Linked DNA regions of Kluyveromyces lactis. The protein of the gene in region 5 interacts with the protein of the main gene of each other region in a pairwise test. Links are inferred from orthologs where the notes say so. Each region holds a gene or a part of one and is shown on either strand. Other genes may lie near its edges.

Region 1 (2,361 bases), on a different chromosome or scaffold from region 5:
CCAATTGCTTAGCTTCCAAATATTCATCAACTGGCTTTTGACCGTTCAATTTGAATTCAGTAGAGTTAGAGAAGGTTGGTCTGACATAATGGTAGTTGGAGTCAAACCATTTAACCATTTCCAAAGCTGGCACATCAACAGCAGCAGTGGTTTCGGTAGCCTTTCTTTGCAAACCTCTAGCCATAGCAAAGTAAGTGTCCAATGGAGACAATTCATACTTAGAGTAACGTTGTGGGATAACGTTGAACAATAGAGAAAGATCCAAGACTTGATCGTAGAAAGAGAAATCGTTGGAAGCAATGACATTGACACCAGCATCCTTTTGCAACTTCCAGTTAGAGGCCTTGATGTCCTTAGCAACTTGTTGTAATTGTTCAGCAGAGACCTTACCGTTCCAGTACCCTTCGGTAGCCTTCTTCAATTCTCTGTTTGGCCCAATTCTTGGGAACCCTAAGACGTATGATTGAACCATTTTGTTATTGACAAACTAATGTATGATTAGTGATTGGTTTGTTTGGCTTAAGATATTAAACTCAAACTGAATGATAAAGGAAATAAATCTGTATTTAAACAAAGTACACATAATTCCTTTTATTATTGTAATGATGAACAATTGTCACTCCTCAAATTACATCAAGAGTCGACTGCTTATATACATTTTTTTTCAGATCCTCTTTGGACTGAAGTTTCTGATCCAACAAACATCGTTTAAACGATGAGTCTTAATTACCTTCGGCTGCTCTAGTCGTTCCCACGAAAAAATCTGCTCAACTACAAAACTGCCACTATTACTACTGCTGCTACTACTACTTACTTTTGACTTGAGCTCATCGGAACGTAACAGAACAAAACTTTTCACCACAATTCACCAAAGGATTCTTTCTGCAGAGATGGGGCTCTCTCAGATACCATAGAAAAGCACATGTCGTCAAAATAACACTTCCCACGAATCGCACAGCATTTCACATGTGGTTTGCCTAATGGTTTCCACATGGTTTCCTGCACGGTGTTTTGACGTAAATAGTGTGGTATAAGACCGACGTAGGTTGGGCAAATGGTAACTGTCACGTGCTGTGCCGTAGTCATGGCTAACCGGTCACGGGGAATGGTTCGGACTGCAATGTGGCTCAATTTGGTCTGTAAGGGTGTGGTTGGGGCGGTGGTTGTGCTTGTTGTGGCGTTTTTATGCACTTTTCCAAAGCAATTTTGATCCTTTTTTTTCCACACCATCCTCCTCCTTTCTTTCACATGGTGACGATGACTTCGTGATACTTACCCGGATTGATTGAAAGAGCTCCAAACTGAACAGCATTTCCAAGTCACATGTATTTTCACGTGACCTACAGAAGTAGTAGACTGTCTCTCTCGATTGGAACTCTCTTTCAGCAGAAATTTAAGCCAGCAATTATCACTCTTCTTCTTAACTTCGAACAACTATTTACGAGGTGAGACGATTTTCTCCAGTTTCAGTGCTATTACCACCAAACATCCAATATGCCGACTTTGGAAGTAGAGCACAAGAAGCTTCTTAATAGAAGAGAAGAATTGCTGAAACAAGACGTTTCTCTTAGGAAAGATTACAGTATCTTGCTTCGCAAGATTACAAGTGTCTGCCAGGTATTAGAATCATTAGGTGAGCCTATTCACATCAATTTAAATGGATACCCCATCTTCCAACAGCCAGATTATCAGAAGTTTAAAGATTGGGATGCTCTGGTACCACTTTTGAAGAGTTTAGAAGAAGTGAACTCGTTGCCCTTGGATGAAATCGAGATCCCAGAAGCTTTACAAGAATCTTATGAATTATTTAAGATGACTCCATTACTATATAAGGATGGTTCTGAATGAAAGTTTGGCTTGTCCTGAATTATCTTTTTCTTCTCCTCTCGTTCCGTATCATGTTCTCAACGGCTCGTGTGTTGATGAACAGTTCCAACAAAAATTTTCGAACTGAGGGTTTGAATCGGTACTCTCCCAATAATTCATAAACTTGTTCAAACATTTCTGGGCTTTGGAATCTACTAGGCCCATACTTGGACTGGAGAGCAGTTATCTCTTTGATCGCACCATTCAGAAGGATATTGTTGCCCATATCGCTTACTATCCTTAGGATCCTATTGTTGATCTTGTCATCTTCAAACACATCTGGCAGTTTCGACTCATTTGTTTGGGATATCTCTCGGATCGCTCGTTCCAATTCTTGTTTGTCCTCTTCCTGCTGGTCGGGATTCACAGACGTCTCGGATCTTTCCCATTCCAATAAGTTGTCTAAAGGGATCTCATGGTCCCCAACTATAATGTTCGAATTCAGTTCATTGTTACATATAGACGCCGCGTTCTGATTGTGTTCATTCACTTCAT
Region 2 (4,002 bases), on a different chromosome or scaffold from region 5:
AATGCTACAGAATCAGATATTTCACAATGTTTAGTGCCTATCGCTCGGATTTTCTTCCAAATATGTGGTGTATCTATTATAATCCTTCTTTTCATGAAATACGCCTTGAATAAAAGCACCAATATGTTAAACAAACTACTGAGTGTTATAAAATTCGTCTTGTTGCTCCAAACTTCATCTGCAAATATCCCATTGTTTCTAATATTTGAAATACTGACTAGCGTCACACCGGACATCACACCAATTTTCTCATTATGTCTACAAAACCTCACTTTTTTCCAATTTGGTGGTACGAACTCCATTGCAACTGTCAATCTAACTAATGCATACAATGGTGTTAGTAGCAACTATAACATATACGTTGTTGGTGTATTAATGTTCTTGTCTAACTACGCACCATCCATCTACTGGGCTCTCTCACTAATTCCTCAAAGCTACAAACAGAAGACACTACGCTTGCAGCATTACTATATCACCGGAACATGTCTAATGATAGCGTGCATTGCACTAAGGTACCACCTATTCATTTGGTCCGTGTTTAGCCCGAAACTATGCTACTACGCGGCCTGGTCCCTCTATAATGTCGTCATGGATTTCGCCATTACCCTGCTTGGCGTTTTGTGAATTCTTAGTTTTTGAATGAAAAATTTCGATAAAATCAACATTTTGTACCATAGAAATTCAAATTGGACTGTAAATGATCATGAACTTTGATAGCCGCAAGGCAGGACAAACTTGCCAAAACTTATTGTTGAGGTTCGAATTGGTATCGGCAACCACATACCCACCATAACAAATCGGTTATTTTTCATATTATATAAAGAGAGAAATGTTGAGAGTGACTCGCGTGCTATTTAACCAAGTGAAAAGCGAGGCATCTGGCCAAGCTGCCAAGATCGTGTCATCATGTCCAGCTGGCACTCCATTGAACTTACAAATCAAGAAATCCGGTAAGGAACCCGTGGCATTAGAAGACAGCGAATACCCTGAATGGCTCTGGACAGTGCTTGATGCCAACGTCCAAGCTGAAAAACTAGCAGCTGATCCAATCAAGCTAAGAAAAAAACAATTAAGGATAGCCAACCGTGCCAACATCAAACAAAATAACTTCTTAGCAAAGATTTAACGGACCCACAGTATGATTCACGCCTGTAAATATATATACATATAAAAATGACATAAAGACACATATCTAACATAACTTTTTGATATCTTTCGTACACTTCCTTTTCTGCAATACTGGATCTGCTATAGGTATTTTTTTTTTTTTACTATTAAAGTTCAAAATATTCAAAATATATCGACGATGAACTACTCTCACGCTTCTTGAAATACACGTAACACAGATCAACTGGCGATCTAACTGTGGTACCTTCTCTTCCATAACTTTAACTGCCGGATATTGAACCAATATAGTGGGATGTTACTCTTCAATACAGAAGATTTGAAGGCAATCTTCCAGGAAGTGTCTCTGAACCCTTCCGACCGTCTTGTCTGCAACAATTCCAACACTATTTATTTATGGCAGGACAACATCTTAAGAGTGCAATCAGACCACGAAACGCAATACAGGAGTTATAATGTGGAGCTTCCATTCGTTCCAGAACAAATGGTCATCAGTCCGTCGGGGGGCCTTGTAGCATTTCATGCGAACAGCGAGCTCTATGTCATGGAAGTGAATGAGCAATCTAGATTAAGAAAGCATTTCAATACCAGTCTAGGGATAAAAAAACTATTATGGCATCCTCTGGCTACTTATGGGTTATCTTTCGTTATTTTGCATGATGATAGTACAATTCGAATTTATGATCTTGAAGACCTAGAACCCGAATCTATCACTGTTTTCAATCGTAAATCGAGATCATTTGGGTTATCAGACCATGTGGAATCAGTTTGTGACATTGCATTTGATCCAACCGGTTTGACACTTTATCTGCTGAGCTCCTTCAATTACTGTGACATATATGCTATCCATCCGTGTCTACCAAAGAATTTTTCCCTACGCAGTAATGATACATCAAATGTCACATCAAGGACGAAAAATGGTTCTTTAGCGGATTACATGTTGCACAAATCATTGTCTTTATACAATAGCCTCGATAAACAGCTAAAGCTGATATCAGGTTCAGATCCTGATGTGGAATCCGATTACCTCACCTTAAAGCATGATCTATTGAAACAAATTCAATTTTTCGACAACTATAAAAAAAATGATGGTATAGACACATTCACGAGCAAAGCAATCAGGAACTCTGTACCACAGGGCCCGTTCATTATAAAAAAATTTCCGACAGCTTTGAATGCGAAAGAGGTCACAGGCTTGACAATCATACCGGTTGGAGAACGTTTGGGCCTTTTGAATCTTCAATTTATAGATGGAACAAACGTTGTGTTGTTCTCCGATTCTGAAATTGTCATGAGTTGGAGTTTACGCTCCAATACTACATTCAATAACCTTAGTGTAATAACAATGTTCAATGCAAAAGGTCAATGCCAACTACTAAACTCCTCGGAACCTAAATTAGTATTTACTGGTGATAGCTCCACGACTATCATGGAAATGCCATGGTTGGAACCATTGGCACAGTGCATAAGGCTTCATGACTTCTCTATCATTGATGATGTTAAGTTTGAAAATAAAATAAGAACAGTTTCAGGAACTTTCCTCGGTGTTTTATCTACCTTGTCTGGTGATATTCTTTACAACGGCAATTCCTTCAAGGTCATCGAGAGTAACGACAAGAGCACCACACAGAAACCCATAAACAGAACCGATGAAGTGAAATATACATATAAACCATCGTTGCCAACGTCTGGAAAGGAATTGGATATGCTTTTGACGAAGTATAAAACAGAAGCCAATGGATTCATTTCAGGCATACCGGACTCTTTGGCTCCTCTCCCTTTGAAGAACAATTCCAATGAACGTCAATTGGAAGTGGTTTCTGAACTTTACAAGGAAACCATGAAGCGCGTCAAGTTGGGACAGATGATTTTATTTAGAATGTTCAACAAATCCAACGAAGAAGTGGCTGAACTCCATCGCCAATTAAGAAAAACCAACGAGATCGAAATGTTGAGAAATAAACTTAACGGAAACTTGGGAGACCTCCAAGAAAGATATTCCAGGTATGAGGAAAAGTCCAAGACGTTGGAAAAACGACTTGACAAGTTAAAAGAGACATTCTCCAGTATAGAAAATAACGAGAAATTAAGAACAAGCAGTATCAGCGAGGCCGAACTAGTGTGGTTCAAAAGTATCAAAAACCAGGTATTAAAGTTCAATAACTATGTACATCTGACAAACAAACTTCGCGAAGAACTAGAGTTTTTGGACACACAGCTTAGATCAACTACTAAAGGAGACGATTTCTTTTCCGAGCTAGAATTTAGTTCCCTACAACAAATGTTACTGAACGACAAAAAGGTCATCAATTCTTGTATGAATGAGTTAAGCGCATCCATTGAAGATCTAGCGGTATAATAGCAATCACCATCTACATATCTTTTTTTTTTCGTTTTTAGTTTTAAAACTGGCATATACCTTACTATATTATGTGCTACTTTTTATATCATTTCATTATGTGAATATGCTACTAACCGAATTTTGTTTTAACGTGTGAATGGCGCTCAAAAATCGGTGACTCTTCCGTTGAAAGAATAATCACCATGCCTTAATGGATCCTGCTTTGGTCCACCAATTTCTCCTGTTTTAGGATTCTTTTCGCCTTCGAACTCTGGTATAGTCTTCATAAATTCTGGAGAAAACCCACCAATATCGTTCTTCAAGATTGGCGATTTCACCGATTCCATAGTATGATCCGATTCAAACTGTGCATTATAAGAATCAATAGCTTCTTGAGAAGACGCTAGCTTCTGCAGCCTTTCAAACTCTTCCTGGTCTTCCTTTGGTAATGGTGGTGGACCTGCTCTTCTTTCTTGAAATGTTCTAATTTGATTCAACCTGACAAAGGCTGGTCTTAGACCGACTAATCTTACACT
Region 3 (2,176 bases), on a different chromosome or scaffold from region 5:
CTCTTTTCCCTCGTCTTCACGCTCTTCTTTTGTATGCTTGTTCTCCTGAGACTCTTCCTCAGGTACTGAGGTGGCTGCAGTACTAGGCGGCGGTTCATCCTCAGTTATCGGCAGTTGATTCAGTTCTAGTTCCGGGTCCTCATCGTTAAACTCGAAATCTGCAGGAATGAACAACGACTCTCTCCGTGAACTCTTACGCCTCCTCTTTCTCAGAGGTCGTACCTCATCATCATTCAGCTCGAGACTATTCCCGCTATTTTCATGGTTATCTTCCGCAATTGGATCCTCAAACCCAACTGGTTTCGTTGTGGTATTTGCACCAGTAAACTCCACTTTCTTCGCAGATCTCGGGCTTATACCATTCGAGCCTCTCAAAATCGGTTTAAGAGGGTTATCATGAATACCTGATTCTAAACCCTGGCTCTCCCGTACTGTGGTCAACAATTGGTTCATTTGCAAGAATTTTTCTACAATTCCGTCCTCTAACGTCTGGAAAACAGTATTGAGCTTCTCACGATAGCGCAATTCACCCATAGAAAGCCGCGACCGTAAGGAAACATTCTCTTGCACCAATTCACTCACTTTAGTCTCCATATCAGTGATTTTCATCATAAGACTGGAATTATATTTCGCAAGCTGACTGTTCTGCTGTAAATAAATTCCCTTTTGTTGCTCAAGCATAGCTTGAAATTCATCGTACTGCGAAGAAGCGCTCATGTTGCACTCTCACAAAACTTAGTAACACTATCCGCCGTCAATTCGGGTCCCTATAGACTTAGGAATCGCTCTTCTTTCAGTCAATGAACAGGTTATTTAAACGCTGAATGAGATCTAAAGCTTTGAATGTTTTCATTGTTTACGTTTTGTTCTACGATGTAAACACAAAAAAACAAGATTACCCGGATCATATTTAGTACTACATTTAATTCAAATGAGGTAAGTTGGACATGTAATGGGCAATTTGATGTTATCCAACCCTTCGTTCATTCTAAATAGCGGTGTTAATGCTTAGCGTAGCTTGTATAGATCAATCTCCCCTGATACAAGTCGGTTTTCTCGAGTTTTCTTCCTTTATTTCAATATCGGAATAATATGAAATCACGACTTTGAACTAATCTCTACAATGTGAATTCTTTCAAAGACTAGAAGAACCAAGAATTATCAGCTAAGATAGACACTTCTCGGAGCGAGTTGGATGATATATTCTAGCTGAAGAGTAAGAGGTTTGGGTCACCTGAAAAAAAGTTGTCAGTATGGCATTTGAAACCGAGATCGAGACTAAGAGAAGAGAATTGAATTATTTGAAGCATGTTTCTGCATTGACACAGAAATTAAAGGCTCAATTGGACGAGCTGAGCGTTCAGGTAGCGCAGATGAATAGCAATGCTGTGACTGTTAAAGACGTAATGGCTAATTGGGACTCGGTTCTTCGGTCTATCTCTCAGGCTTCGATATCTTTACTTCAGTATACAGAAAACGACTATGAGACTGGGAAATGGGCCAGTAAAGAGGAACATAGAAACCAACAGGGCGCTGAAGATGAAAGTGCTGCGTCAGAAAGTTCAGAAGATAACCAGCAGCGGCAACAGGATCAATTACCTCCGCTTCCGGAAACTTTGGTACGGGTGAAAGTTGCAGATGACGTTGAATAACGTTTTTATTGAATATATACATATGGTGTATAAACAGGTTTTATACTATGTACAATTAATTGGTGTGGCACCTTCTTCTATTATTGAATTAGAAAGATGTGGGACTTGTCTCGATTGTGTTAGTTGCGTAATTGATGACACATTGGTTACCGGTTTCCTCGTTGATTTCTCCAATGATGGATTGTAACATCGTAACGTCCAAATTCGAATTAGCGAAAAGAGCAACCTCTCGTTTGACGTCGCTAGCTAATTTATTAAGATCGGTTAGTCCATGGTACATGCCATCCAGGTATGAGTCAGTGATCAATTTCTCATTGGCCAAGTTGTCGATGATTGGAAGTTCGATACTTTGATGGTAGAACTGCTGCTTGAAAAAGACCCTTAAAGTTTGTCTAACCGCATTTTCATCGGATAAGAGACACCTTCTCCAGATCTGGTACTCGCAGTACTTTTTTACTTCAGTGGGTAACGTGTGATCAATGGCAAGGATACTCAATGCAAATCCATAAGAAGTATCTTGATTT
Region 4 (4,189 bases), on a different chromosome or scaffold from region 5:
TATCAGGGATAAATATTTAAAGGGTAAGTTCAGACATACCGCTGTCAAGGTGGAAGATTTCAATCTAGAGGATGATTCGTCACAATTGGACTACAAGTCATCCCGCCCATCATCTGCGTCCGGGTCCAGAAGAAACCGTTCTGCCTCATCTGCCAGCAGTAGACCAAGATCAAGAGAAGGAGACAGACCTCCGCTTCCAAAAAGGCCGGACAACAAAGTGCAAGAAGCCGTTTTCGATGGAACAAGTGAACCAAGCCTACCTAGTACAGCATCGGCAGAACCTCGCCCAGCAGTATTCGATGGGGTACAACAATACTATGATCCAACTACCGGCCAAATTTATGTAGATCAAAACTCCTATGCGGCAATGCAGCAGGCCCAGGTACAAGCATTGGCACAACAAGTTCAACCTCAGTTTACACAACAGGTTCAACCTCAGTTTACACAACAAGTGCAACCCCAATTCACACAGCAATTACAACCTCAGTTCACCCAACAGGTACAGCCTCAATTCACTGCTCAACCATCGATAGATAAGAACACACTATTATCACTGTATCAAAGACCAGATTTATATTCTAGTGCCGTAGAAATCAAACCGGATAATCCACAATACCAACAGATCCTGAATCTCCAAAAACAACAGCAGGACCAACAACAGCAGCAACAGCAACTGCTACAACAACAGCAGCTACAACAGCAGCAACAGCAACAGCTCCTGCAGCAACAACAGTTACAACAAATGCAATACCAACAACCACAACAGTACCAACAACAATTCTACCCCCCATTCCAATAGATCATCATCCCTTGGCCTTCTTTGCAGCTGCAGCTGCAACTGCACATCTGCTACCGCACTACGGTTTAATCTCTCATACCTATGTTTGCCTATATAATACGTAAATATGGCTAAAACCAAAACACCGCTACAACTAATATCTAACTTTGTCTTCCTCCTCTGACGTTTCACAACGTCTGCTATACACTCTTATCCGGAACATCCACGATCTACTTACTACCTAGCTATCACCACTATTATCTTACTGACCATCAAAAAAAAAACCTCCCATTGACTCATAACCAATCATATCTTATTTGCACTTAACGAGCGTTTTCTTAAAACCGTTCCACCAAGCACCAGTGTCTTTCCACTGCCTTTACTGTGTACGTTTTCTGCGATATATCTGTCTTTCCTTCTTTGTTTCTTTATTTCTATATAAAGTTCAAAATGACTTATTACAAACTAAGTTTTGATCCTTAAAAACCATTTATAAGAAATAAGAACGCCCCCCCTTGTAAAGAAAGAGGCCAAAGAATGACAACGGTCTGGCACTGAGTAGTCATATGGAAAGCGGTTGAGCATGAGTTCAGAATCGCACGACAAAGTTGTGGCGAAAGCCATTCGTTTGCCGACAGAAAACTATTCCGTGGAGAAGGAGATCGGTAAGGGTTCATTCGCGGTTGTTTACAAAGGTCTATCGTTAAGAGATGGGAGAAACATAGCTATCAAGGCCGTGTCGAGGTCGAAGCTAAAGAACAAGAAGCTTTTGGAGAATTTGGAGGTCGAAATTGCCATTTTAAAGAAGATCAAACATCCGCATATTGTGGGGTTAATAGATTGTGAGCGGACTTCATCTGATTTCTATTTGATCATGGAATACTGTGCACTAGGTGATTTAACGTTTTTCATAAAGAAGAGGAAGAACCTAGTGCTCAAGCATCCTTTGATAAAGACTGTTTTTGAACATTACCCGCCACCAAGTACGGAACATAATGGATTAAATCGGGTTCTTGTGGTAAACTATTTACAACAACTATCCTCTGCGCTTAAGTTTTTGCGATCTAAGAATCTAGTACACAGAGATATCAAGCCACAGAATTTATTGTTATGCACACCGTTATTAGATTATAATGATCCGAAGACGTTTCATGAGTTGGGGTTTGTGGGAATCTACAATTTACCCATCTTGAAAATCGCGGATTTTGGGTTCGCTAGATTCTTGCCTAATACTTCTCTAGCAGAAACTTTATGCGGGTCACCATTGTACATGGCTCCAGAAATATTAAACTATCAAAAATACAATGCCAAGGCTGATCTTTGGTCAGTAGGAACGGTGCTATACGAAATGTGTTGCGGGAGACCGCCTTTTAAAGCATCAAACCATCTCGAGTTGTTTCAAAAGATTAAAAAGGCCAACGATGAGATTACAGTGCCCTCAAATTGCTATATTGAACCGAAACTGTTCAATCTAATAAGAGGGTTGCTAACTTTTGACCCGGATTCCCGTATGGGGTTCACTGATTTTTTCAATAACGAAGTAGTGACAGAAGATTTGACAAGGTACGAGCAATCGTATGAGCCAGACTTAGAATCCAAGAGTAAAGATGTCGCTGAAAGTAATATGTTTGTTTCAGAATATCTAGTCAAACCATTAAAGCAGCAGGAATCTGCACATATACCACCAACTCAAACTGACGAGAACACTAGTGTACAAACTGGCGTTAGGCGAACCTCAGGTAAAGAGAGGCTCGCAACAAACCATCCACCACATCAACAGATCCACCCAGAAGATAACTCTCAAAACCCAGAACAAAGCTACCAATCTGCAAGTCAGAAGAGGCTAAAGAGCTCTTACAATGATTTGATTTTGGAGAAGGAGTATGTTGTTGTGGAGAAGAAAACTGTCGAAGTAAATTCTTTGGCTGATGATTTTGCTAATAATGGACCCATAACAAACAACCAAGGGGCACAAGTTATAAAACCCTTGAGATACAGAACGTCTTCTTCTAGCGATGCATCAGGAGGAAGAAGAGCCTCTTTAGTGGAGAGAAGGCTTTCGATATCGTCATTAAGCCCGTCGAATGCGTTATCGAAGGCACTAGGGTTAGCTTCTGTAAGGCTTTTCGGATATCAACATAATACAAAGGCTACTTCTTCGCCACCTCAACAAACACTACTGAATCCTCAGATATTTCAGGAGCTAACGGAAAATGCAGTATTGAGGGCTGATCATAAACTAAATCCTTTCAGCGAACAAATGTTGGATTCCAACATAACTCCTGCAGTGGAATCGCTTGCGGCCAAAGCATTTGTCATGTATTCGTTCGCTGAAATGAAATTCTCTCAAATTCTTCCAACTCCTCCTTCTTCAACCGACTATGACCCACTGTCAGATAAACGTCTAAGTAACGGAAGTTGCGCGATAGAGGATGAAGAAGATTTGGATCAAGGCCGCCCACCTTCTAATCAAACTTTGACCTCAGCAACAACAAAGATTTCATCAGCCACCAATGTTGACACTCAAATACCGGCCCCCGAGTTGAAAAAGTTGTGCACCGAATCTTTACTTCTTTATCTAAAAGCTCTTACTATTTTAGCTGCTTCAATGAAATTAACATCAAAATGGTGGTATGAAAATGAAAGTAAAAACTGCACTTTGAAGCTAAACATTTTGGTGCAGTGGATTAGAGATCGCTTTAACGAATGCTTAGACAAGGCTGAATTTTTGCGTTTAAAGCTCCATGCTATTAATACATCACCAAATTCCCAATGGTCAGATGATGACCCTGTAATTTTTGTTGAAAAGTTAATATACGATCGTGCTTTAGATATATCTAGAAATGCTGCAAGAATGGAAATGGAAAGTGGGAATTACAATACTTGTGAACTAGCCTATGCTACTTCATTATGGATGTTAGAAATTTTGCTGGACGAAAATTTTCAATTCAACGAAGTCTATGATGACGAGTATGCATCAAATATCACCTCCTTAGACGAATCAGATAAGGAAATGATAAAGAAATACATTTCAAGTATTGCTAATAGGTTAAAGGCACTAAAATCCAAAATGGTTTAGGATTGATCATCTTTTGGATTGGGTTTTTTACAATTTACATTTTATATAATGATTATATATATATGGATTAGGGTTTTTTCCATTAAACACTTACTACTTTTTTTTTGAAACGATACCGATATCGTTTAGTAGTAAAATAAGATTATATCTATGAATAGAATGACTTATTATAATAAATTAAATACCAAATTAAAAATTTCCAAACTTCAAATACGAAACAAAACGGGAGATGCAAATATAAAGCGTTTCAACTTTTGACAAAATAACTCAAATGTCGCTCAAAGGACCTCTATAGTACTATTGGAGCCTTGGTTTGTACGTTGTTGTTCTTC
Region 5 (2,992 bases):
CGGTTATTTGACGTAGCATCCTCGAATATCCGGTATTTGAATCTAACCAATAACATAAGGGTTGATACACCAACCTATAAATGCTGCTTTGTGTTTCGTTCAAAATATATCCAGATTCCATTCTATATGAAAGAAACCTTATTGCTGCCCTCAAATGGTTCAACTTTTCGACCTGCATATCTGCCGTATTAATTCCACGATTAAGCTCTTTGAGCAAGAACATGGTACAGAGCTTATCAAGTATGTCATCGTCATTTATTTCTAGGCATTCAGTAATCTGATCTTCAAGACTTGGTTGCGAAAGTTGTTTTTCCTTGACTTTTTCTAAAACACTTTGTAGCCTTTCCTCTTGGTGTACTTTGCGCTCGTCATCTAGTTGAGCTTTTTCCAAGCCAACTTGTATTCTATCTATGTCCGAATGAAGCTGCAGAAGCTTATTAGCAATTTCATTCAAAGAGGAAATCTCTTCTTCATGTAATTCAGAACCATTGATTGTTCTTGTCACCGTATCAGGTAGTTCTATTTTTAATTCCGCAAGGAGACTTATATTTTGAATCAATTTCTCAAGCTGGGTGGCACGACGAGTCTTAAACTCCACTGTTTTCTTTTTATTTGAACTTTCATCTGATGATGCTGAAGTATTACTATAGTTGGAGTCATCTCTATCATGTACTGCACTTAACATCCCTAATCCGACACCTTTAGGACGAGTGACTGTTTCGATTGGGTTCACTATACCTTTCCCATCTCGTCCTAAACCTTCACCTTGTTTGTAACCCATTTTTGATAAAAGCTTGGCACCCATACCATAGGTCTTTAACATCTGGTCGCTTTTCAATCCATCATTGGAGTTGGCTTGTCGTACCGGTTCATAGTCTTCTTCTTCTTTTTGTTCTTCATTGTCATCGCTATATCCATATGGATCGGTAAATACCATACTATTCATTGTCATACTGATCTTTCTTCTTTTGAACTGATCATCGTCACTGATATGTTCTGACATCTATACTGAATCACTGGAGTAGTAATAGCTGACTTGGAGTGACTGATACTCCTTTCAATCTTTACTCCGATTAATAGGTATTTATTCATACTTTGAAAAGATTTAAAGGTTTGAAGTTCAGTCTTCGAAGTGAAATTGACCGTTTAAGGGTTTCAAATTGGAAACGTTGAAGAGATGAAGATCTTTCGGTTGATCTGAACTGCGTCTACAAGAAATGAGTGATGCTGCAACTACTATACCCAGTGATGAGATAGATAAATTGTGGAATAAGGCGAGAAACCAGCTTGTGGAAGCTCAAGTCGAATGTGAAGAATCATTAAAAATCCTCTCTAAAGTGCGAACTGAAATGGACAGCTCTCAAAAGTCCAGATTTAAACTTAAATTTATACTTAATTGTTTGGTGAACCAGGTTGAGTTCTTCAAGAATATCATGCTCGAGAAATGTATTTCTACAGAGTTGATTGACAATGAATGGTCAAAGCTGGTTTTAGTCGAGATAGTCAATGACGTGAGTTATTGGCAAAACGAGATAACAACAAAGATGAAGATCTTGCAGGGTACAAAATACGACTTGACTGACGATCACAGTAGCCTTTCAGATTTCATATGCATGGATCACGTAGACATACTACAACAAAAAATCGATGAGATTCCTATTATAAAACAACAAGTGACAAACATACGACAACACTACAAATCGATAAAAGATCGAATAGAAAACCAACTAGTGGCTGTAAAGTTGAAAAAACTCAGAACTTACTTTGATTCACATTTCAGCAGGGATAGCAAAAATAATCTATTCAAATTGTTGGAAAGTGATTATGTCACTGAATTGAACGAATTTGAGAATGAACTTGCCGATTTCTTGAGATCAATCACTGATCATTTCGACAAATGCACGATATTGAAGGAACAGCAGATTCCACTACCAGATTTGAAGGAACTTTTCCAGATTGTAAAGAAAGACGATACACAGTTAGAAAATATAAGGGAATTAGTATTCGAAACGGGACTTGAAGTGAAAGCTTTCTCAAAGAAAGTCAATGAAACAATAAGTGAAATAATGGACAAAATTGGTGGATTCCATCTGCTGGCTTCCAAGATTGTGACAGAGTTAGAAAAATGTGAGGAATACTTATCTATCTTCCAAAAGATTGCTAATTTAGTATTCGTTTATAAGGAATCTTGCATAAAAAAGATTGAACAAGTGCAACAACTCTGTGAGTTTTACGATAAGTTCAAATTAGGGTATAAAAACCTTCTACGAGAAAGAGACAGACGGAAAGCCACTGCGTTACAAATGGAGAAAATATTAAAGGAATGTCAGGAGAAACTACAGGCACTGAGTGATGCTGACTTGGACCAACGCCAGCAATTTTTACTTGAAAATGGTGACTATCTTCCCGAAAACATCTGGCCAGGTTATATCGACGATATGGAATCGATGTATAGTTTCGAATATAGCATACATAATGTACCGAATTGACGGTATTGTGTTATTATTGATACATAAGTATACATATTTACAGGTATAAATTATCTTTTACATCGTTATGGTTAACATTACTTTCTGTGGTTCAAAAATTGCAAGGTATCATTTATAATTTTTCTCAAGATCGACGAACCTTTCAAAGACATCATCGATAGTTAGTAAATCCACTTTCTTCGACTCCCTGGTTCTAATCGCCACCTTGCCTGCTTCAACTTCTTTGTCACCAATCATTATAATATAAGAATAATGCTTCTTGATGGCTTCTCTAATTCTTTTACTTACAGATTCATCTCTTGCATCCATATCAACAGAGAAATGGAAGCTGTTGAGTGGAATTGGGCTTTTTGGATCACTATTTTCACCACGTAATGAGTTGACTGTCTTGAAAGCCAATTCCATTATCTTCTCATCTTCAGTCTTCACTGGGATGACCATACATTGGTTTGGATTCAACCAAAACGGCCATTTACCTTTGCTTGAATCAATTAAAATGGCCA
Region 6 (2,679 bases), on a different chromosome or scaffold from region 5:
TTGTTAATAACTTCTGGAATCAACTTGGAAGTCAATTGAGCCAAAGTGGAGTTTTGAACTTCTCTGGTCAAGATTTCAGAAATAACCTTTCTGATTTGTCTGATGTGAGAAGATTGAGCGTAAGAAGTTCTCTTGACTTGGTTAGCTTGTTTTCTGGTGAAGGCAATAGCGAAGATTCTCAAAACGTAATCGTCAGAGGTCTTAACGGTAACATTGGCTTCAATCAAAGTTTGCCATTTTCTAACCATAGATCTCAACTTATCAGTGGTGAAATCCATACCGTGGAAGTTGGTCAACAAGTTCTTACCTTGGACTTCGTCAACTCTCAACTTGACCTTTCTGAAAGAGTGGTCTTCAGAACCTTGCAAGTCGGCCAAACAGACTTCGACAACACGACCCTTCAAAGAATCGGAAGCGTTCTTCAAACCAACAGACTTGTTGACCAAAGTCTTACCAACATTTCTGTTTTCAAAGGTGGATGGGGCCTTGATATCGTACCATTCCTTTCTGGTGAATGGGTCGACAACTCTCTTCTTCAAACCCTTCTTACCCTTGGACAATCTCTTGTTCTTACCAACAGCCATCTTGAATAAATGTTTATGGTACTTTTCTGGTTGATCTGCTTACTTTCGATAGAACCAAAGGAAATGATTACACTAACAAAATATAACTGTATCAAATAAAATAGCTGTTACAATAACTATCCAGTATCAAAATCTTATAAATTATTCTCTTCCTGCAATACAAAATTCATATTTCTTCAACTGTTACTATTTCGATAATTCAAAATTCAATATAATTGTCAATCGTCATTGAAAAATGGGACTCGATATTAGGAGGAAGACACCACAGCGAATGAAGCGCAAGCAGGCGAAACGATGGGGCGGGTGGTACGGACCGGTGTGAGAAAGACTGTAGGCGGAATGCCAATGGGAGATGCTAATGGGAATGGTGTAGTGAAGGGAGGGGAAAGGGAGTTACAGTCAGCCAGTGGAGGCTGGGAAGAGATTCCTACTGTGGAGCGTTCTGTCGAGCTAGGCCAGGAATTCCTGCCCTCTCAGCCTAGAGATTGAGCCTAATTTTTCGTGTTAGGCTCACCCGGTCACATGACAGCAGTAAACAAAGTTCCTATTTAGCAAAATATCTTACTGTTATGAAATTTGAAGATACACACAGTATGTATGGATGTAAAACTTATGAATACAATGGTGTCCGGATGTCAAAGCAACACGTGACCGCGAACAACAGTCCCAATGTTGTCATTTTCCATTTCTCATGCTACCATGATTTAAAGGTAAATAATGAGAATCTACACACATATCGGTATGCTCCATAACGACACATAGAAACATACAAATACGTGCTGATATCCAAGTTCAATTGTATCTTTTAAAACATCCTGTGTGCTACAGATATATACACACACAGAGCAGTGAGACAAGTCTACAGATAACACTCTTTTTTTTTTCGTTGCAATGTCTCTGGATAAAGATCGAGTACCGAGCCTTAGACACCAGGTCAAGGTGAAAGTTGGCCTGATAGGTGATGCACAAGTTGGAAAGACTTCTTTAATGGTCAAATACGTACAAAATGTGTTTGATGAGGAATATACGCAGACATTGGGGGTGCATTACCTCGAGCGGAAAGTGGTGCTGGGATCCACAGACGTTATATTCTCCATAATGGATCTTGGAGGTCAACGTGAATTTATCAATATGCTCCCTTTAGTATCCGAAGGTGCAGTTGCAATAGTATTTCTTTTCGATTTGACGCGGCCAGAGACTTTAAATTCGATAAAAGAATGGTACAGACAAGCAAGGGGGTTCAATGATACAGCAATTTCAATTCTGGTTGGAACTAAATATGACCTTTTCGTCGATATGGACCCCGAATATCAAGAAAATGTATCTAGAACTGCGATGAAATACGCTCAAGTTATGAAATCGCCTCTGATATTTTGCTCGACCCAATCATCAATCAACGTACAGAAAATATTTAAGGTCGTGATTGCAAAAGCTTTCAATCTAACTCTGAAAGTACCGGAATATAAACAGATCGGCGAGCCCTTACTGATATACAAATCATTCGGTCCTTCGCGACCTTCTTCTCCAAAAAGACAAGTGCATACCCCTCCGCCATCATCGTAAATCACCTACCTCCTATTACGTGATCAACGGTTTCATCTTGCCCGAAGCGGGAGGGTAAAGAATGAATAAACACGGTAAAATAGTAGTTAAAAAAATGCATCCTTTATTATATCTTTCTATCTTATAATTAAATAGTTGAAAAAGCAGTTTCATATTCTACTTAACCGCTACGCTACATGACAACCTAAGTAGCAATTATAATAGCAGCAAAGGCGTCTTGAAGGCATATACTAAAATGTCTTCAACATTTCATCTTCATGCAAGCATTGCTCCGCATCTTCCATGGAAATATTTAATTTGATCGTCGAGAGCCTCTCATTCTTCAAATATTGCCTTACTACAACACCTGCATCCAATAATTGCAATAAAATATAGTCCCAAGACACGGCCCTTAACTGTTCCTTTGTATCAACAGAATCATTTTGGAATAAAATCCGTTTCAACTCTAAAATGTATTTGTTATTCCCATTGACATCAATGAGGAGCCTCATTTCTTCTACGATATCACCAAGTTGTACGTCAGTTTGCTTCT
Region 7 (2,821 bases), on a different chromosome or scaffold from region 5:
AAACCAATCTAATTGCTTCCTGCGAAGACAAATTAACCTACGATCCTATTCCGTTACCTAAAACGTTTACACCGGATATGTGCGAAGACTGGGAATACCGCAAGTGTACTATGACCGGTAGATTCTTGCATGATGAAGAGATTTTTGTCGGCCCCCGTGTTAGAGGAGGGATCAAGGGGTACGTTTTATATACGCCTTTCATCAGAAAGGATACGGGAGAAAGAATTTTGATTGAACGTGGTTGGATCTCGGAGGAGAAAATCGTTCCATCATCTCGTAACTTGCAACATTTGTCTTTACCTCAAGGCGATAACGTGACAATTACAGTGTTAGTGCGTGCAGCTAAAGATTTGACATCAATGCAATGGAAGAAGGAAGACAGGGAGAGTAGATTGTGGCAAGTCTTGGATATTAAGGATATGACAGAGATGACACATACTTCTCCTATTCATTACCAAGCTCTTTACGATCTGAAAGATCACCATTGGGATGAAGAATCAAAATCTGAGGGTATCGATAACAAAAACCAATCATCTTGGAAATTCTGGTCTAAAAAGAAAACCGAAACAGAACCACAACAAGAAGAATCCGAGAAACCACACGTCAACACGAAGAAAGTAAATACAGCAGATTCGGAGACAGGATTGGAATTTAACGAGTTCCAATTCGTTAAAGCGGGAGTGCCTATTGGTAAAGCACCAAAGATTGATTTGAAGAATAATCATTTACAATATTTAATTACTTGGTATGGGTTATCTCTGCTTTCATCTATCTTCCTTATCATTGCACTAAGACGTGGTCGTGGTTCCGCTATGTCACAGGATGAAATAAAGAGGCAAAAGCTAAAACATGCCAAGAAGTTCATGTGATAAAGAAACACATATTGATATTCTCAGGAATTTCTATCTCGATCCCATCATTTCCTTCAATTTTCTAGTATTCGAGATACTCAAATTCCAATAAATTATATTCAAGCAGTTAATTACTAAACACATAGTAGTATCAACCTTGTTTGTACCTGTAAATACTATTATAGCTATTTTGAATGATTTTCATTCCTGTTGATGAATACTAACTAACTATCGTTGAAATACTTGTACATCGAAAATCGAAAACGTAAATAAAGTAAAGCAAAACAAAAACACGAACAGTAAGGTGTCTCCAAGCAGACAGACGGAATGCGATAGTGTCTCTTTGGGCAACCTGGTATCTAATTTGACATCTCATAGACAGTCTGAGGTAAATTCATTACTTGTTTTTTTTTTTTTTGACCTTTCATCTTAAATTCTCAGGGCTACTTGGCACTATTCCAAACTCAACATAAAACTGCTGGATTCATCTGCTCATAAGATATGTCTCAAAGGCCAAATACTCCACAGCGGGACAGGCCAACTGAATATAGACTATCTTTGTCATCTAATGCAAGCTCAAGAAGATCTAGTTTAGGCAACAACGGTCGAGATCAGCATGCGTCAAATCAAACAATGATTGAAAAATACGTGCTCCCACAATTACAGGAACTTTCGGACTCGATGGTAACACTCGATGGTAACATGACGCACATGAATTTCATTCATGAATCGATAGCGGATTTAAATGAGGCTCTAAGCGCTTTATTATACGGATTGATGTGTAACTCTTGGTGTGTTGATTTCCCGAACATATCTCATGATACTCCGCATGAATTGAAATTAATCCAAAGACTAGAAGAGTTGAAACAAGAAAGACAAGCACTACAGGCGAAACTCAAGCCAAAGGAACTTACCAAAGGAAGCATATTACCTCTTTCAAGACAACCTTTATCACGAGGTTCTCAGATGTTGTATCGTGATGAAAATGTGCCAGGTTCTACTGCAAGCTCGAATGTTAACATTGACATTAACGATGACGAAGATAACACAGCCGCTTCGTTTGTATCCAACCCAACTACTTTCAAACCTCAAATGATATCTTCAGTAGGAGCTTCAACTGACTTTATGGGAAAACAAACGGTAGGCTCCGCGTCATCGAAACTCAGAAGAAGATCCATTCTACATCAAATACGAAACAACGCTGCAATAGGCACTATACCTAATACACTAACAGGTATTACTCCTGGAGAAAGAAAAAGATCACTAGCAGTCAGTGCAAAAAGAATTCCTATCTTGGCAGGATCATCGACTACCGCTGGCTCTGCCTCTTCTGCTAATCGTGAATCTACAAATACAGAGCCCGCTCTACCGAATAGAGTTGTAAGAACAAGACAGAGAACCTATAATCCAAAAAACCTTGCAAGCAGGCCTCCTTTCAGGTAACGAGTTATTTGATACTTCTTACCAGAGCTTTTTTCTAGATACATATTCATACCGTGTGTATATCTACCAAACAATGTAATATTACAACGTCAGTTAACAAAATGAAGAAAAAAAAATTACTGAAGGTACTCAGTAAAGATTGAAGTGCTCTATGAGGCTGCTCTTACCGCTTATCAGTGATACATGAACGTTCTCGTTTCAAGTGAAGTCTCGTTCGATTTACTTTTATTCGAGTTGAGCTTATTGAGCAAATAAAGGCCGCCCTCTTCATTTCATTCTGCAAGGAATTCTGTGAAGAAAAATGACCGAAGTTACAGAGAACATAAATCAATGAAAGAGCTAACATAAAGAATGAGATGAGAAGATTTTGAGAAGGTATTGGTTGTACATTTTAAATATAAGAAAGTGGCATATAAGTGTTTAGCCATACATCTTGATCAGTTCCATTCTAGCTGCTGACGGTTACACACCAGAAACATTGATGTTTTTTTGTTGATTTTAACTCTTTGTTCATTCACGTATTGGGA

The links.
Region 1: the proteins of ATG17 (region 5) and IES5 interact in a two-hybrid assay, tested with the Saccharomyces cerevisiae proteins (2 studies listed by BioGRID). The link is inferred for Kluyveromyces lactis from reciprocal best matches to the Saccharomyces cerevisiae genes ATG17 and IES5.
Region 2: the proteins of ATG17 (region 5) and NUP82 interact in a two-hybrid assay, tested with the Saccharomyces cerevisiae proteins (2 studies listed by BioGRID). The link is inferred for Kluyveromyces lactis from reciprocal best matches to the Saccharomyces cerevisiae genes ATG17 and NUP82.
Region 3: the proteins of ATG17 (region 5) and DAD2 interact in a two-hybrid assay, tested with the Saccharomyces cerevisiae proteins (2 studies listed by BioGRID). The link is inferred for Kluyveromyces lactis from reciprocal best matches to the Saccharomyces cerevisiae genes ATG17 and DAD2.
Region 4: the proteins of ATG17 (region 5) and ATG1 interact in a two-hybrid assay, tested with the Saccharomyces cerevisiae proteins (2 studies listed by BioGRID). The link is inferred for Kluyveromyces lactis from reciprocal best matches to the Saccharomyces cerevisiae genes ATG17 and ATG1.
Region 6: the proteins of ATG17 (region 5) and TEM1 interact in a two-hybrid assay, tested with the Saccharomyces cerevisiae proteins (2 studies listed by BioGRID). The link is inferred for Kluyveromyces lactis from reciprocal best matches to the Saccharomyces cerevisiae genes ATG17 and TEM1.
Region 7: the proteins of ATG17 (region 5) and DAM1 interact in a two-hybrid assay, tested with the Saccharomyces cerevisiae proteins (2 studies listed by BioGRID). The link is inferred for Kluyveromyces lactis from reciprocal best matches to the Saccharomyces cerevisiae genes ATG17 and DAM1.

The regions. Positions count from the first base shown.
Region 1 is NC_006041.1:1,787,841-1,790,201, forward strand, and holds IES5 (Ies5p), read left to right. Parts: upstream 1-1,494; coding exon 1,495-1,848; downstream 1,849-2,361. Other genes in the region: MET6 (5-methyltetrahydropteroyltriglutamate-homocysteine S-methyltransferase), read right to left, coding at 1-472; KLLA0_E20087g (uncharacterized protein), read right to left, coding at 856-1,230; TORC2 complex subunit TSC11, read right to left, coding at 1,868-2,361.
Region 2 is NC_006042.1:156,091-160,092, reverse strand, and holds NUP82 (linker nucleoporin NUP82), read left to right. Parts: upstream 1-1,420; coding exon 1,421-3,484; downstream 3,485-4,002. Other genes in the region: mannose-ethanolamine phosphotransferase LAS21, read left to right, coding at 1-624; MRPL37 (mitochondrial 54S ribosomal protein mL54), read left to right, coding at 830-1,126; SDH8 (Sdh8p), read right to left, coding at 3,631-4,002. UniProt on the Saccharomyces cerevisiae protein: Functions as a component of the nuclear pore complex (NPC).
Region 3 is NC_006037.1:700,793-702,968, forward strand, and holds DAD2 (Dad2p), read left to right. Parts: upstream 1-1,253; coding exon 1,254-1,652; downstream 1,653-2,176. Other genes in the region: SGO1 (Sgo1p), read right to left, coding at 1-717; NUP133 (Nup133p), read right to left, coding at 1,741-2,176. UniProt on the Saccharomyces cerevisiae protein: Component of the DASH complex that connects microtubules with kinetochores and couples microtubule depolymerisation to chromosome movement; it is involved in retrieving kinetochores to the spindle poles before their re-orientation on the spindle in early mitosis and allows microtubule depolymerization to pull chromosomes apart and resist detachment during anaphase.
Region 4 is NC_006039.1:1,497,598-1,501,786, forward strand, and holds ATG1 (serine/threonine protein kinase ATG1), read left to right. Parts: upstream 1-1,361; coding exon 1,362-3,857; downstream 3,858-4,189. Other genes in the region: GTS1 (Gts1p), read left to right, coding at 1-799; KLLA0_C17182g (uncharacterized protein), read right to left, coding at 4,136-4,189. UniProt on the Saccharomyces cerevisiae protein: Serine/threonine protein kinase involved in the cytoplasm to vacuole transport (Cvt) and found to be essential in autophagy, where it is required for the formation of autophagosomes.
Region 5 is NC_006040.1:232,164-235,155, forward strand, and holds ATG17 (protein kinase regulatory subunit ATG17), read left to right. Parts: upstream 1-1,217; coding exon 1,218-2,489; downstream 2,490-2,992. Other genes in the region: mRNA splicing protein SPP382, read right to left, coding at 1-1,003; threonine--tRNA ligase MST1, read right to left, coding at 2,598-2,992. UniProt on the Saccharomyces cerevisiae protein: Autophagy-specific protein that functions with ATG13, ATG29, and CIS1/ATG31 in response to autophagy-inducing signals as a scaffold to recruit other ATG proteins to organize pre-autophagosomal structure (PAS) formation.
Region 6 is NC_006038.1:457,076-459,754, reverse strand, and holds TEM1 (Ras family GTPase TEM1), read left to right. Parts: upstream 1-1,475; coding exon 1,476-2,147; downstream 2,148-2,679. Other genes in the region: RPS1B (40S ribosomal protein eS1), read right to left, coding at 1-584; ORC1 (origin recognition complex subunit 1), read right to left, coding at 2,378-2,679.
Region 7 is NC_006038.1:999,363-1,002,183, reverse strand, and holds DAM1 (Dam1p), read left to right. Parts: upstream 1-1,352; coding exon 1,353-2,294; downstream 2,295-2,821. Other genes in the region: cytochrome oxidase assembly protein SHY1, read left to right, coding at 1-869. UniProt on the Saccharomyces cerevisiae protein: Component of the DASH complex that connects microtubules with kinetochores and couples microtubule depolymerisation to chromosome movement; it is involved in retrieving kinetochores to the spindle poles before their re-orientation on the spindle in early mitosis and allows microtubule depolymerization to pull chromosomes apart and resist detachment during anaphase.